Linked DNA regions of Oreochromis niloticus. The protein of the gene in region 2 interacts with the protein of the main gene of each other region in a biochemical or structural test. Links are inferred from orthologs where the notes say so. Each region holds a gene or a part of one and is shown on either strand. Other genes may lie near its edges.

Region 1 (6,890 bases), on a different chromosome or scaffold from region 2:
ACATCTTTCTGCTCTACCTGTGTTGCCTTTGTCATCTTTCTCTGTCTCTCATTTATACAGTGCTGTGACAAAGTAACACCTGTGTGAGGAAGCACATGTGCACGGTTTATCCACTTATGTTCCGGAGTTCTTCAAATAAAAGCAGTCTGGGTTTCCATAATAAGAGTCTCACTGACATATGGACATACAGTTTCTGTACTGCAAAGCTAAGAGGGCTTTTAATTTGAAACAAATGCAGAAAATGTTGAGTTGAGTCGCTTTAACAAGGTAGGAGAGAATTAAAAATACTAAAAAAAAAAATTAAAAAAAAATACTAAAACAGGACTAATTCATCCCATAAAATACAAGGAATGAGGTAAGCAGAGGTCAAAGATAACACAATGTTAGCGGCGTCAGCGTTAGTTCGTCAGCTGTTCCAAACAACGAACATGTCTTGAATCAGTCCACTCGCATTATAGCAACTTGACAGCTCGGATCATTTCATTTGACTTAATTGGCTCTCTTTCATCAAATGCACTCCAGGGATGACTGGATTTCAAGGAGAGTGAATAAATAAGCTCCAAAATGTACCTGATGTTTTATTCAGTAAGAACTGAAACCAGGTCTGCCATAGACTGGTCACCAGTCCAGGGTGAAAGAAAATGGATGGATGGATAGAGTCACTTCAGTCACTTTAATTTTAATTTTAAAACGGTGAAATTTTAAAAGTGTATATAATGTATATTCTGTGTATTTATTATCTCATTCTTATTGCCTGTTTATGCCCTGTCCTTATCTTCAACGTCATGCTGCTCTGTTGTATCTATCTTAATTGCCCCTTGGGGATAAATAAAGTCTCTCTGATTCTGATTCTGATAGATTTGAAACTAGGGGCTGAGATCATGAACTCATCAGGAAAGTGTGTAATGAGGTCGGAGATCAGGTGAGGAGTGGGCTCATTTTCCCCTAGACTTCTGTATAATCAGACCAAAGCAGTTGCACCCTGCTGGACATTTGAGTGCTTCTGCATTGGCGTCATGCTTCAGATGCAGTACCAGTATCTGCACCAGGGATGTCAAACCCTTCATTCCTGAGCCACTTATCTTCCAAATTCATCAGCTGTGCTGTATGAGTAAAACCACTCCGTAATAAGTCTTGATGCATGCTCATTCATCTGGACCTGGTGTTTTTAGTGGGAGAAACATTTCATCACTCATCCAAGTGACTTCTTCAGTCTCAGCTGTAAATTTCCCCAATCTTTTACATACATTTGCATAATGACTCAAACTAACCCCACTGGTGAACAATGGGCTGTGAGGTCAGTTTCTTGATCAGCTGATCAAGAGTGACGAAATGTTTCTACCACTGAAAACGCTACGTCCAGATCAACAGAATTGGGCACTCCCTAATAACTTTGAAATCTCCCTTATTGCATTTTCTTTAAGTAAAGGGTTATGGTTGTTATGGTCATGTTAATTTGTTCATGATTCCACACATTTAGAGTACAGATGATCTGGTCTCTTCGGCTTTCAGCCTACATGACTCACACCTGTTGTTGAGCTGTTGACCAAAATGTAGGTCCCTCTTTAAACTCAAGAATCCATTAAAACCCCCTCATATCCCAGCTTTCAAATGCAGCGTGTGTTTCTGGGTCTGTCCAAATGGTGGGAGGTAACGCAAAGAAATATGATGAGTGATGTTGAAATGTGTACATAGCTTCTCTGTATGTGGAAACACAAAATCAGACTTTAATCACCACATTTCTCCATACACATGAGCACATGAATAAATCTGTGAAAGCAGGCTGCTGTGAGAAAAGGCAGCAGGAAATCTGACAGGAAGAAGAAGTATAGGCCAGCTTCAGTCAGGCTGAAGTGTCTTTGAATACATCAGGATTTCTGATGCTGATGAAAACTTTACTTTCCAGAGATGGAGGTAAAACACACTCAGCTGCCCGACCCGTCTTCAGTCTTATATAAGTGTTGTTGCAACATCAGTGAGACTCAAACACATCACTCAGGGAACAAAGAGCTGTCAACATTGAGGTCTGTTTCTAAACTTTCAGCTTCTTTAGGATCAGGATCTGTGCACACATCAAACCTCAGACTAAAAAAAAAAAAACAGTTTCTCACTTTCATTCTGAGGTGACTGTCCATCTGACCATTGAGTGTCTGTGTGCTTCACACATGATTTTAATTATTAATAATAATACTATTGTTATGTAAAACAGTCAATGATCTCGTGGATGCCAAATGTATCATTCTCGCGATCGATTATGAATATTTTGTCCCCTCATGTCCAGCCAGTCTCTCAGACGATCGCCCCTCCCTCAGCCTGGTTTTACTGAAGGTTTCTTTCTGTTCAAAGGGAGTTTTTCCTTTCCAGTGTCGCCAAGTGCCTAATGATTGCTGGCTTTCACTGCTTTATTGCAGGGTACTGCTATTGTGATTTGGCGATGTATAAATCAAGTAGAACTGAATGTATTCTTAGTGGTGGGCTGTTGTGTCTGAAGGCAGATAGACTTCGGTTAAGATGAAGAAGGAAAATCAGAGTCTTCGTTCATTTGAAAGCGTGACCAGGACAGAGACTAAGAGAAGAACTAAAAACAACTTTCTACTCGATTAACTGCTTGGTCGCTAAACGCGCGGCGCCTTTCTCCTGTGTAAGTTCATCAATAGAGGAGCGGCTGACGTTGTTTTACCTGTTCGGCGCTCAGCGCAGCTCCGTGTGTCCGCAGAATGACATCCAGCTGTTTTCAGCTGCAGCTCGCGCGGCGGAGGACGCCTCGTGAACACTCGGTGGGAACTCCGTCTCACCGGAGGCTCACCGGAGGCTCGCGCCCCGCTACTGCCGGCGCGTTTCCGCTTCTCCGCGCTCACAAACCATCCCGGTAATAATCCAGCCTCCCGCCGTGCGCGCACACGCAAGTTTTGCTGAGGGGGTGTGGAGGGTAAGAGGGCAGTCCTGAAAACGCGAACTGAAGCGCGTGCTTGAACCTACGTGTATTCAGTTACCAAAGTGACACATGCTATATATATGTGTGCTCGCAGTGCCCCGCTCCCTCCTTGCCGTGCTCTGCGCACGCTGATAGACTGAAATATTACTTTTAATCAAAAACTTTATATAAATCCGGATAAAGCCGCTCTGCTGACGTGAGCATGTGGATATGGAGCCCCCTGGTGGCCGCCTGCAGCTACTCACTTGGTTTTATTGATTGGATACCGGTACTAGTCAGTTGATTAGTCTGATTGAACCCCGAGTAAAATGACTGTGGGTGAGGGTGATTATGGATTATAGACAGATGGTCGTGTTTCTGCCTTCTGCTCAGTAAAAGTTCAACTTCCATAGAATTATCTAAGATCAGTTAACAAGTTAAATGACTGATCAGTTTCTCATCAAACTTCCAGCATCTCTGAACTCACTGCTGACCTTTGACCTCTTTGCAAGGAGAGATTTTAAAGTTCATTAACAGCCACACATGACGTCACACTGCAAGTGTGTTATTGTTCATAAAGTTAATGCACAACACATACATAGAGAACCAAAGAATGTGTGTGTGTGTGTGTGTGTGTGTGTGTGTGCGTGTGTGTGTATGTGTGTTTTAACAGGATACACCCGGTATACCAGGAAGTCGCTTGGAAACACACAAACTCTCCCTCTCTGTACCTCTTCCTGGAAATGATCACCACCCACCCTCATACTCGGACTCTCTTGCTCTCTTTCTCACATGTATCCTACCTTCCTCCCACTCTCTCCTGTTAATGAAAACACATTAATGTTTCTCTTATTTAACTGTAAAGGTCACACTTGAATACAGCAAGTCGACTCCAAAGAAAGTCAGTAAATACAGTTAAGGTGAGCAGTTTCCTCCTTTTATTCTTGATTCTGTTAGAGACACTGCATGATTCCGTATTCAGAATAATCCTTCTGTGTCTGGGTTATAGTGCACCCTGTTCCTCTCTTTTGATTGGTTGTTCTCTGCCAACAGAACCTTGTAAGTATTATCTTGTGCTGTGGCTACTGGAGAAAAATACAACGTGAAGTTACTGAAAACATGATTTGTGGTTGTTGGTTGGGACTGAACTGTACACCTGAAGGCACAGCTTCATACGGGGATATTGTGATTCCCATATGAAGTGAATGCTGATCTGAAAATAGAAACTTTATCATTTTTTTTCTTCCTTCATACAGGTAAACTAACTATGATGAGATGACTGTGAGGATATCCTCTCTGTTTGACATCATACAGCCAGGGTCACCACAAGGAGGGGCCAGGGGGGACACTGGCCCATCCTAGCAAGGCTGTTGTATGTTGGTATTATTTTAATAAACATGAGGTCAAGAGAGAGGAAGACAGCCTACAATGAGTTGAAACATTAACCTGTTATTTATTCCTGCATATACAATTTTGCCATTCGTATTGTGTCACTTTGTATGTCCCTCATGATTTCCTGTCATAACCTCCTCACCTTTGCTACACCCCTGCGCTGTTTTGGTGTGCTACCCCAATATTTTTAGTGGTCGCCATATGGTCATCCATTGAAAAAATTCAAGAGGCGCCCCTGCACAGCGCTCGCTGAGTGTAAGATGCTGGCAGTGGTTGGAGGAGCATGAGGTAGAAACATGTTTAATATGAACATCCAACCCTGGAACAGGAGACAGCAGACAGCAAGTTGAGAGGAGCACTCAGTCACCGTTAACGGTTTCTTAGTGTCCAGTCGGCACACAAAGTTGTGCCAAGGCTCAGGTCTGACTCTGCTGTGAGGATGAGTGTTATTCCTGAACGAGGAGATCTGAAAACCAAACTTAGCATAAACACATGAATGAATTCAAACTTTATGGACGGCTTTTTTTTTAAAAACAGAACAACAAACTCTTTTCCCAGGCTAAATGAAGATCTTCTAAATTAGTGACACACCATTTCCCTGTCCAGCTTATGGGCTATCTGATTTTTTCAGCAGGTGATGGTTTTGTACCTCTGAAGATTATTTTATAATTTATTTATTTTTAAGGGATTAGTGTTTTTTTAAACACTGTAAATAGTGACTGAAATAAAAGCCATATTTATAGAAATTGTGGAAATTATTTGTCTGCTGAGATATAATCACACAGAATTAATCTCACAGGGAACATTTGTCACAGGAAACTGATTAAACCTCCACAACAACAAAGCCCACAGAGCAGGAACAGTGTGACATCTGGACGTTCGCATATTGTGTGCAGTCTTTTCACCGCTTCTGTGCAAAACCAATCCTAAGCACATCAAGCACTCAAACGATAGCAGAAAATCCAAAAGGCACTAAAGCAAAAACTGCTTTAAAAGGTGAGACACTACAAACAAAAATATGAGTGGCATCTGAAGAGCTTCTGTGACAGCCAGAGGAGTCCACATCTTTTTCACACAGAGCTGCTACCAGCCCAATGTTGTTTGTTAATAAAGTTTTTCAGCTGAAAGGTTTTGTGGAATCTTTTGTTTGTGGAGCCCAGAAAAAATTAAGTCAGACTGAAACATGATGCTGACCATGGCTTGGAGCCGAAACAGGACACAGTTGAGTTATATAACGGCACAAAGCTTCTGGAATTATTGAAGAAGCTAAGAGTCAATTTGTGACTGAAAGGTGTGGACAGGAGGATTTTTGCAGCCTTATGTCAAATGGATTTGTAAGTTTTACTTTCAGGAGGAAAATATTTGTAATTCACAATTGTGTGATCAAAAGTCTGTGGTAAACAATTTACTGCAAACTGCATGAAATCTAACGCTGAAAAAAATCTTCTTCTGCCTGTTGTGGTTGTGATAGCTGCTACCAGAAAGGTTTATGAGGGGGACATATCTTGAGAACAAGTGCATAATCGGCTCAAAGCTGTGAGCTTGTTACCAAAACCAGTGGTGACAGTAACTGAGTGAGTATTAACAGAAAAGCACTGATTGACGAGCTTTAATGATGTTGTTTTACTTCCTTTTGTTCGTCTTCAAATTTCCAATTTAAAAAAACACAGACATGAGAAAGTGTTTCTGGTAACACTTTCTCATGTCTGCAAAACTGCAAACACTTGTGTTTGCAGTTTTTAACAGACAGTAAAACCATTTGTCATGTACACACTCATTCTGCTGCTCTTCTCTGAGGTCACTACATTACATCAATCAAAGTAGCCAGACTGAGCCATGAAAACAACAAAACATGGCAACAGTTTGATAGAAAAGTTTTAAATTCACCCCACTGCTACAATAATGAACAGCACTGGGTACTTTTAATGTAATAACTGAAGAACTTCGTACTCAGTAGCTTCATTAGTGTGGGAGGAAAATTGGAAAATGAAATGAAAAAATATAATTTTCTTTTATGAACTAAATTTTTAATTTTAATTTAAACAAAGTTGTGCACCTTTTAATTTCCGTAGTTTTTCATTTTCTTATGAGAACATTTTATCAAACCAAATTATTTATTTCTGAATGTTTAAATGTTTTGGGAAGAATAAAACGCTGGAAAAATTCAGAAATGTGTCCTGTGTGCCGATGGGATCACCACAACTGGAGCGGGATCAGCTGCAACAGAGACAGATGGCTGAGAGGAGCTGGGGCCATTGCCAGTTGCAGTAGAGAACAGACTGTGCAGACCCAGATCACGGTCTGCTGGGTCATCCTCTAAAGCTGGTGGTGGGACCTCCGTAGGTGGCCACTGATGAGCTTGATCAAGGACCCAGGTATTGTCCAGGGGCTCGCAGCAGCGATAATGCTTTAGCTGGTCATGGTGGACAACTTTCACTCTAGACCTTGGGTTCTTCTGGATCCGATAAACCAGGTCATCCAATTGCCCCAGGACAAAGAATGGTCCTTCATACGATGGGAGGAACTTTTTGACCTTATTCTTGATGTGACGTGTTCCTTTGATGAGATACCATACAGGATCTCC
Region 2 (6,218 bases):
TAATTGTAGCTTTAATCAGTGGAGCACTGATGATGGAGTGCTCAGCTGTACTGTAATTCACTGTACATCATTTCCTTGTTAGAAAGCCTTTAAACAACCTCGAAGACACAATCAGGTGCCAAGCTAAGACCGTATGCACTAAACTACTCAGCTGATCACCAGTAATGCACTGGCAGTGAAATAAATGGGAATGGAAAATCATTATCACCAATAAATAGTTCAGGATATTCATTAATGTTCATGCGCGGTCTGTGTCAGATCATTTTTTTTATGAAGACATTAAAATAAATCTGTTATCAAATGAATTCTGTATATAAACGTCCTGCATAGAGCTCCCTGCTCCTGCTAGTTACTCAGAATGACAAGAGCTTCTTCATTAAGACGACACTACATGTTTCAGTTTGTGTTTTTATATTTGACAGTTCAAAGGAAAAGTCTCCCGTACATTAGTGTCTTTTTGAAATATGCTGGCTGTGTCTGATGGTCAGTGATGAGGGCCAATGACCTGCATTTGTAAACATTTATTAAAACATTCAACAGTACACAAGGAACAGTTTTGGTTCCATTTTTTTTAAATATTCTGCTGAGCAACAGTATTTAATAAATATTAGTAAATAAATAGCCTTTAAATAAAAGTATCTTTGTGTAGAGACGTTGCAGTTTTGGAATTTAGATGGTAAGACTTCATCTTTGCTTTGGATCTGCAAGAGAAGAGTAAGAGAGTAAGAGTTAAATCTGTGCTACATTACTCTAACCTTATTGTAGTGAAGTTACTGTAACTTACTGTATCTTCCCACAGTGTTGCAACCCAGAGAGCTCATGGAGCCTATTCTGTCCATCCGTCGCCCAAAGCAACCAGAAGATCTCCTAGATGAATCATTGCGGACACTCTTGAGGTTCTTGGCTGAAAGAAACTCCCGGATTTCAGCTTCATCTAGTCCAGCGTCTGGCTGAGGTCCATCTCCTGCGTCCTCTGTGCTCAGGCTGTCTAGAAGATCCCTCTGTCCAGGGGCACTTTGGTCCACTGCCATTTGTTCTGAAACAGACTCCTCCAGTCTGCTGAGGAGCACCTTTAAAGATCCACACAGATGAAAGTTGTACTGGGTCTTAAATAATAAACATGGCAATTTAACTATGCCATGAGGATAGACAGAGGCACTCAAATGTATTTGTCAACAATTTATGTCTCAGTTTATTGAGATTATTAGAAGCAATATTGGAGCACAGGTAAGATGAAAATGATCAGACTCTATGCTTTATCACATGAGATATCAAGGCTAAATATTGGGAACAGCTATGGAAGGAAATGCAGGATGTTGTTCAACATCTTACGTGAATAACTAACATTAAAGTCTATAAATAAAATTGAGTTCCTTGTTCTGGTTGCTGCTACAGATTGCCTAAAATTCCCAGGCAGACTCAACCTTTTCAAGAAAAAGTTAGTGTGAGGAGACTTACCTTCAAGATGTCCATGTCAGTGTCAGTCAAGCCAGTACTGATGGGATACATGCTAGTCAGCTGCAGCTTTAAAATGAGAAGGAGGCTACAGAGCCACATAGAAGACAGACGCATGATGCTCTGAGTTGCTGCTGTTCGTGTTAGTAGTTGGATGAATGGATAAATTCTCTTTTTCTTCTTTGACTTGTAGGTGTTTGGATGCTGGAGCCAACAGCAGCACTCTCTTTTATACTTAAGGTTAACACACATAGGTATGCCAGGAATTGGACCGGCATGCCTGACACCTAATTCTGATAACACGAGCTGTCGGAAAATGCTCCTTTTAAAGCATTGTATGCTAGTATTCTTATGACATAGCTGCTTCCATATGCTACTTTGCTTGAGAAACATTCTCCAGAGCCTTCCCACCTCACACGGGACACTGTTGTCACTGAGTTACAGGAAGTAGTAAACTAATGTGACAACATGATAGTGTTACTAAATGAAGACACATATGTAATAGTTGTACGGTCGCCTGCTGATAATTGTTCTGAGAGATCATCTTTTAGTGGCAGGAATAGTGGCAAAAATGAGGAGTCCAATCTGCTGATGTGATGTTTACACTGCCTAATGTTCTTTTCTTGAAAGCGTATTTTAAAGTCTGTCACCTTTGGATAATTACAACATTTTTAATTGTCGGTGTTTTCTTGAATTGATGTTGCATCCAGAATATGTATGAGAATAAACTGAACTGTCATTGCTGACCTGCTGTGAGAAGCAAAGGAAAAACAAAACACTACACATATCACTCACAAGTCACTGCCTTGTGATAACTTTAATCAAATATAGCAGTGAATTAAATGATTATGAATTTAGGTGAAGTACTGTCTCTAAAAGACTGATGTTGCTCAGCTCTGCTTTCACACAGACAAGTACAGGAAGTCTTTTATATTTCATGCAGTTATAGTAACTGTCAAACTCACTGCTGGGATTTTGGCAAGTGTAAATAAATAAAACTGTATTTATTATTGAAGCAGTATCATTTGGACCACCAAGTCACAGAATCCTCATTAATTGAATGAACACAAACAAGAAAAACAATAAGTTCATTAATAACAACAACAACAAAAATCTCACTTTTTTGTAAACAAAGTAACTTCAGAATAAACTCCTCTAAAAAAATGAAAGGATCATCACAGTATTTGGGTTTGGGGCAAGGTGGAGCAGGAGAAGCACTGCCAGAGTCCTACAAAATGACCACCAGTGAGCCACTAGTGCATTTTTCAGACAAAACTGTCATGAATGGACCCAGAAAACACTAGAACTAGCAGGTCTACCATTGGTACCTCAAATTTCCTTGCAGATGAGAGCAGGTTCAGCCCTGAATCCAAATAAGAAGGTGAATCCAGCAGTGGTGGGGTGGAGCAGCGGGTTCAGGGTGTGGATGCAGGGGAGGCTGATCTTCACAACCGACAAGCATCATTTAATCATGCATTACCTATTCCAGTAGTGGCTGGGGCCGGAGAGGAGCCCATCATCTAAACAGAGCCACTGGTGTGACAGAGGCTGGCAGCGAAGCCAGCCAGCGAAGCCAGTAATCGAGTGCATTACAATAATCTAATCGGGAGGAGATGAAGGCATGAACAAGCATCTCCAGTTCACCTTTGGAGACAATACTCATGAGTTTGGCGATATTTCTTAAATGAAAAAAGTGAGAGCAGGTCACAGAATTGATATGAATATCAAAAGACGGAGATTGATAAAAAAAAAATTAACTAGAGATTCCGAGCATTAGCTTTTACCGTGGATGAGAAAGAACCCAGATGTTGCCTGATTTAGGGCTTGATAATCTCTGGAGCAAGAATTAAACACACAGTCTTTTGTTTGTCATCCAACCATCAATCGCACTAAGACAGTCCATTAGAACAGCTAATTTGTTTAATTCACAGGGTTTAAAGGAGATGTCCAGTTGGATATTGTCTACATACAGATGGTAGGAAATAATTTTGGAACTACTAATGATAAGGCTTAAAGGCAGAATATATAATGAAAATAACAAGGGGCTTAAACCCGATCCTTGTGGAACTCCACATGAAAATTCAGCTTCATCTGACTGAAAGCTTCCTACTGAAACCAAAAGTGTTATATCCGCCAGAAATGAGGGGAACCATTTTAGGACAGATTCAGATATCCTTACCATATGATTTAAGCGGTAGATTATGATCTGATGATCAACAGTAAATGGCTGAGCTAAGGTCCCATAAAACAAGGACTGACCGGTCACCCATGTCTGCGGCCATCAAAAGGTAATTTGTGACTTTGATGAGAGCTGTTTCTGTGGAGTGTAACTTTCTAAAACCCAGTTGAAAGTTATCAAGAATATTATCCTTCTCCAGTGCCTTCTTTACTTGTGACCAAATGATTTTTCTGATACTGTAGTAATGAAAAAAGTTTTGAGCTGTGTCTGTAGCTTGTCTGAAGTGTCAAATCCAGGTTAAGCTTTTTCAGCAGAGGTTGAATAACCACCTGTTTAAAGCACCTGGAGACAGAGCAAGGTAGCAGGGAACAGTTTTTCAATGTGACCAGAGAGAGCCCAGTGGTGTCAAAAACTTTAAGAAACAGAGAAGTAGGTAAGACATCAGCTGGACTTGTTGAGGGTTTCATTTGAGTTAGTATTTCTGATCTTTTAACAAAACTGGGTGAAAAGATTCCATAATTATGGGGTGTGGGAGATCACAGTTGAAGGGGCTATCTAAGGGAGACATGTTTCCTCTAAGGTTGATCTTATCTTGGAAAAATCTTTAAAAGTCATTGCAATCCATATCTGAAAAGACAGGTGTACACGGAGTTGGAGGAGAGACAATGCTATTCACTGAGATTGAACAGGAGTTTAATATTGTCGTCTTAATCGGCCAGGCTGAAGCATCTCTGGTTAAATCCTAAGGGGCTTGGTGCAAGTGTGCCCTGTACACTCCCCAGGACTTCATATGGTTTCTCATAAGCCGTGGGACAATGAAATGGTCACTCACATGGTGTGGGAAAACTGGTCTCAAACACGGTGTCCTGCCAAAACCTCTGCGGAGAAGCCATACATTCAGCTGGAGGTCCGTTTTAGCTAAAACATCCAACACCGGGAGCGCCAAGAAGGACGCTAAATCACCGCTACTCTTGTATTTCTGTAATCTCACTTGGATGCCCACTCTCCTTCCTCACTTCCCCTGACGACTCTTTGTCAGGGAAAGAGTCTGCATAACACAAGCAACCATTGGAGGTTATGGGTAACAGCTGATCGCCCAAATGGTGAAGGGAAGCCTCCAAAGTGTTTCCCATTTTCATCCATAGACTCCATTGCTAACTTAATCTGAAATAAGGTTTAAACGTAGGTAGCTGTAATCTCATACACAGACAGCAGCAAAATATGTAATGCCATAAAAAACAGAAAAATAGAGACCCTGACAGTGGCATTGCCAATAACAGGCGCCATCTTGTTAGGGGTCTGACAATAATTGAACAGTTGTCAAATAGGGCTGTCAGCTGTGTACCAACCTGACGAGATTAAGTGAAGTACCCTCTGAAGGTCTACTAGATGATGTGAATGCAGCACTACGGACGATACCTACTGCCACCATTACCGAGACTAACCAGCTGATCTACACCACGGCAGCAGTGATCAGTGAGATGCTTGGCTACAAAATGAATAGCCACAAGGAGCAGTACCCTCCGTGGAGAAATAGAACAGAGGCTAGGATCAAGTTAGCCAGGAGGGAGGTTAGCCAACTATCGGAACTGCAGAAAGGTGCGATGAAGAAGGTGCCTAAGAATTACAGCAAGCTGTTCATACCTGAGGCCATGGAAACTGCCAAGCAAAGACTCACAGCCTTGGCCAGCCTCTTGAAGAGGTACACCGGAGAGATAGAGGGCAGGACAATAAACCAGCTGTTCTCCACAGAACCATCCAAGGTGTACTCTCAGTGGCAAGAGAACAATATGAGAACGCCACCACCAAGGCTTGAGATGGAGCAGTGCTGGAAGAGCATATGGGAAAAGGATGCAACACATAACAGCAATGCTCAGTGGTCAGCCACCTCCTCTACATGGATGATATTAAGCTGTATGCCAAGAGTGAATGAGACATCGATTCACTGATCCACACCGTGAGGATCTACAGCAATGACATCGGGATGTTGTTTGGACTGCAGAAGTGTAGTTGGATGGTAACAAAAAGAGGGAAGGTAGTCAGAACTGAGGAGATCATTCTACCAGAAGGCAACATTGCAGACACTAAAATAAGAACAAGTACCTGGGAATCCCAGAGCCAAATAGGAACCATGAAGAGGCTGCTAGGAAAGCTGCAGGAAGATGGGAACAACTGACCACTTGCTTAATGAATAACTCTGGCAACAGAAACCCAAGAAAGAAGCGGAGCAAAAGGAAGAGTCATCATGGAAGGAAAGGCCCCTAGACGGTATGTAGAGGAAGTGGCTGAAATCCAGAAATTCTACCAGTGGCTGAACTAGGCACTAATTATGGCAGCACAGAAACAAGCGCTCAGCTCAAGATCCATAACCAGGTGGCTGGCATACTATACAGGAAAATCTGTGCTGTGTATGGAATGAAAGTCCCAAGGTCAAAATGGGAGACTCCCCCTAGGGTGGTGGAGAACGACAGAGCTAAGATCCTGTGGGACTTCCAGGTACAGATCGAGAAAATGGTGATGGCTCACCAACCGGACATAGTGGTGGTCGACAAGCAGAAGAAGACAGCCATAGTAATAGAAGTAG

Evidence for each region.
Region 1: the proteins of nppb (region 2) and npr1a form a complex in vitro, tested with the Homo sapiens proteins (2 studies listed by BioGRID). The link is inferred for Oreochromis niloticus from reciprocal best matches to the Homo sapiens genes NPPB and NPR1.

Annotation. Positions count from the first base shown.
Region 1 is NC_031985.2:34,509,233-34,516,122, forward strand, and holds the start of npr1a (atrial natriuretic peptide receptor 1), read right to left. Parts: upstream 3,028-6,890; 5' UTR 2,681-3,027; intron 1-2,680. UniProt on the Homo sapiens protein: Receptor for the atrial natriuretic peptide NPPA/ANP and the brain natriuretic peptide NPPB/BNP which are potent vasoactive hormones playing a key role in cardiovascular homeostasis.
Region 2 is NC_031984.2:35,529,943-35,536,160, forward strand, and holds nppb (natriuretic peptides B), read right to left. Parts: upstream 1,665-6,218; 5' UTR 1,573-1,664; coding exon 1,459-1,572; intron 1,071-1,458; coding exon 785-1,070; intron 702-784; coding exon 685-701; 3' UTR 507-684; downstream 1-506.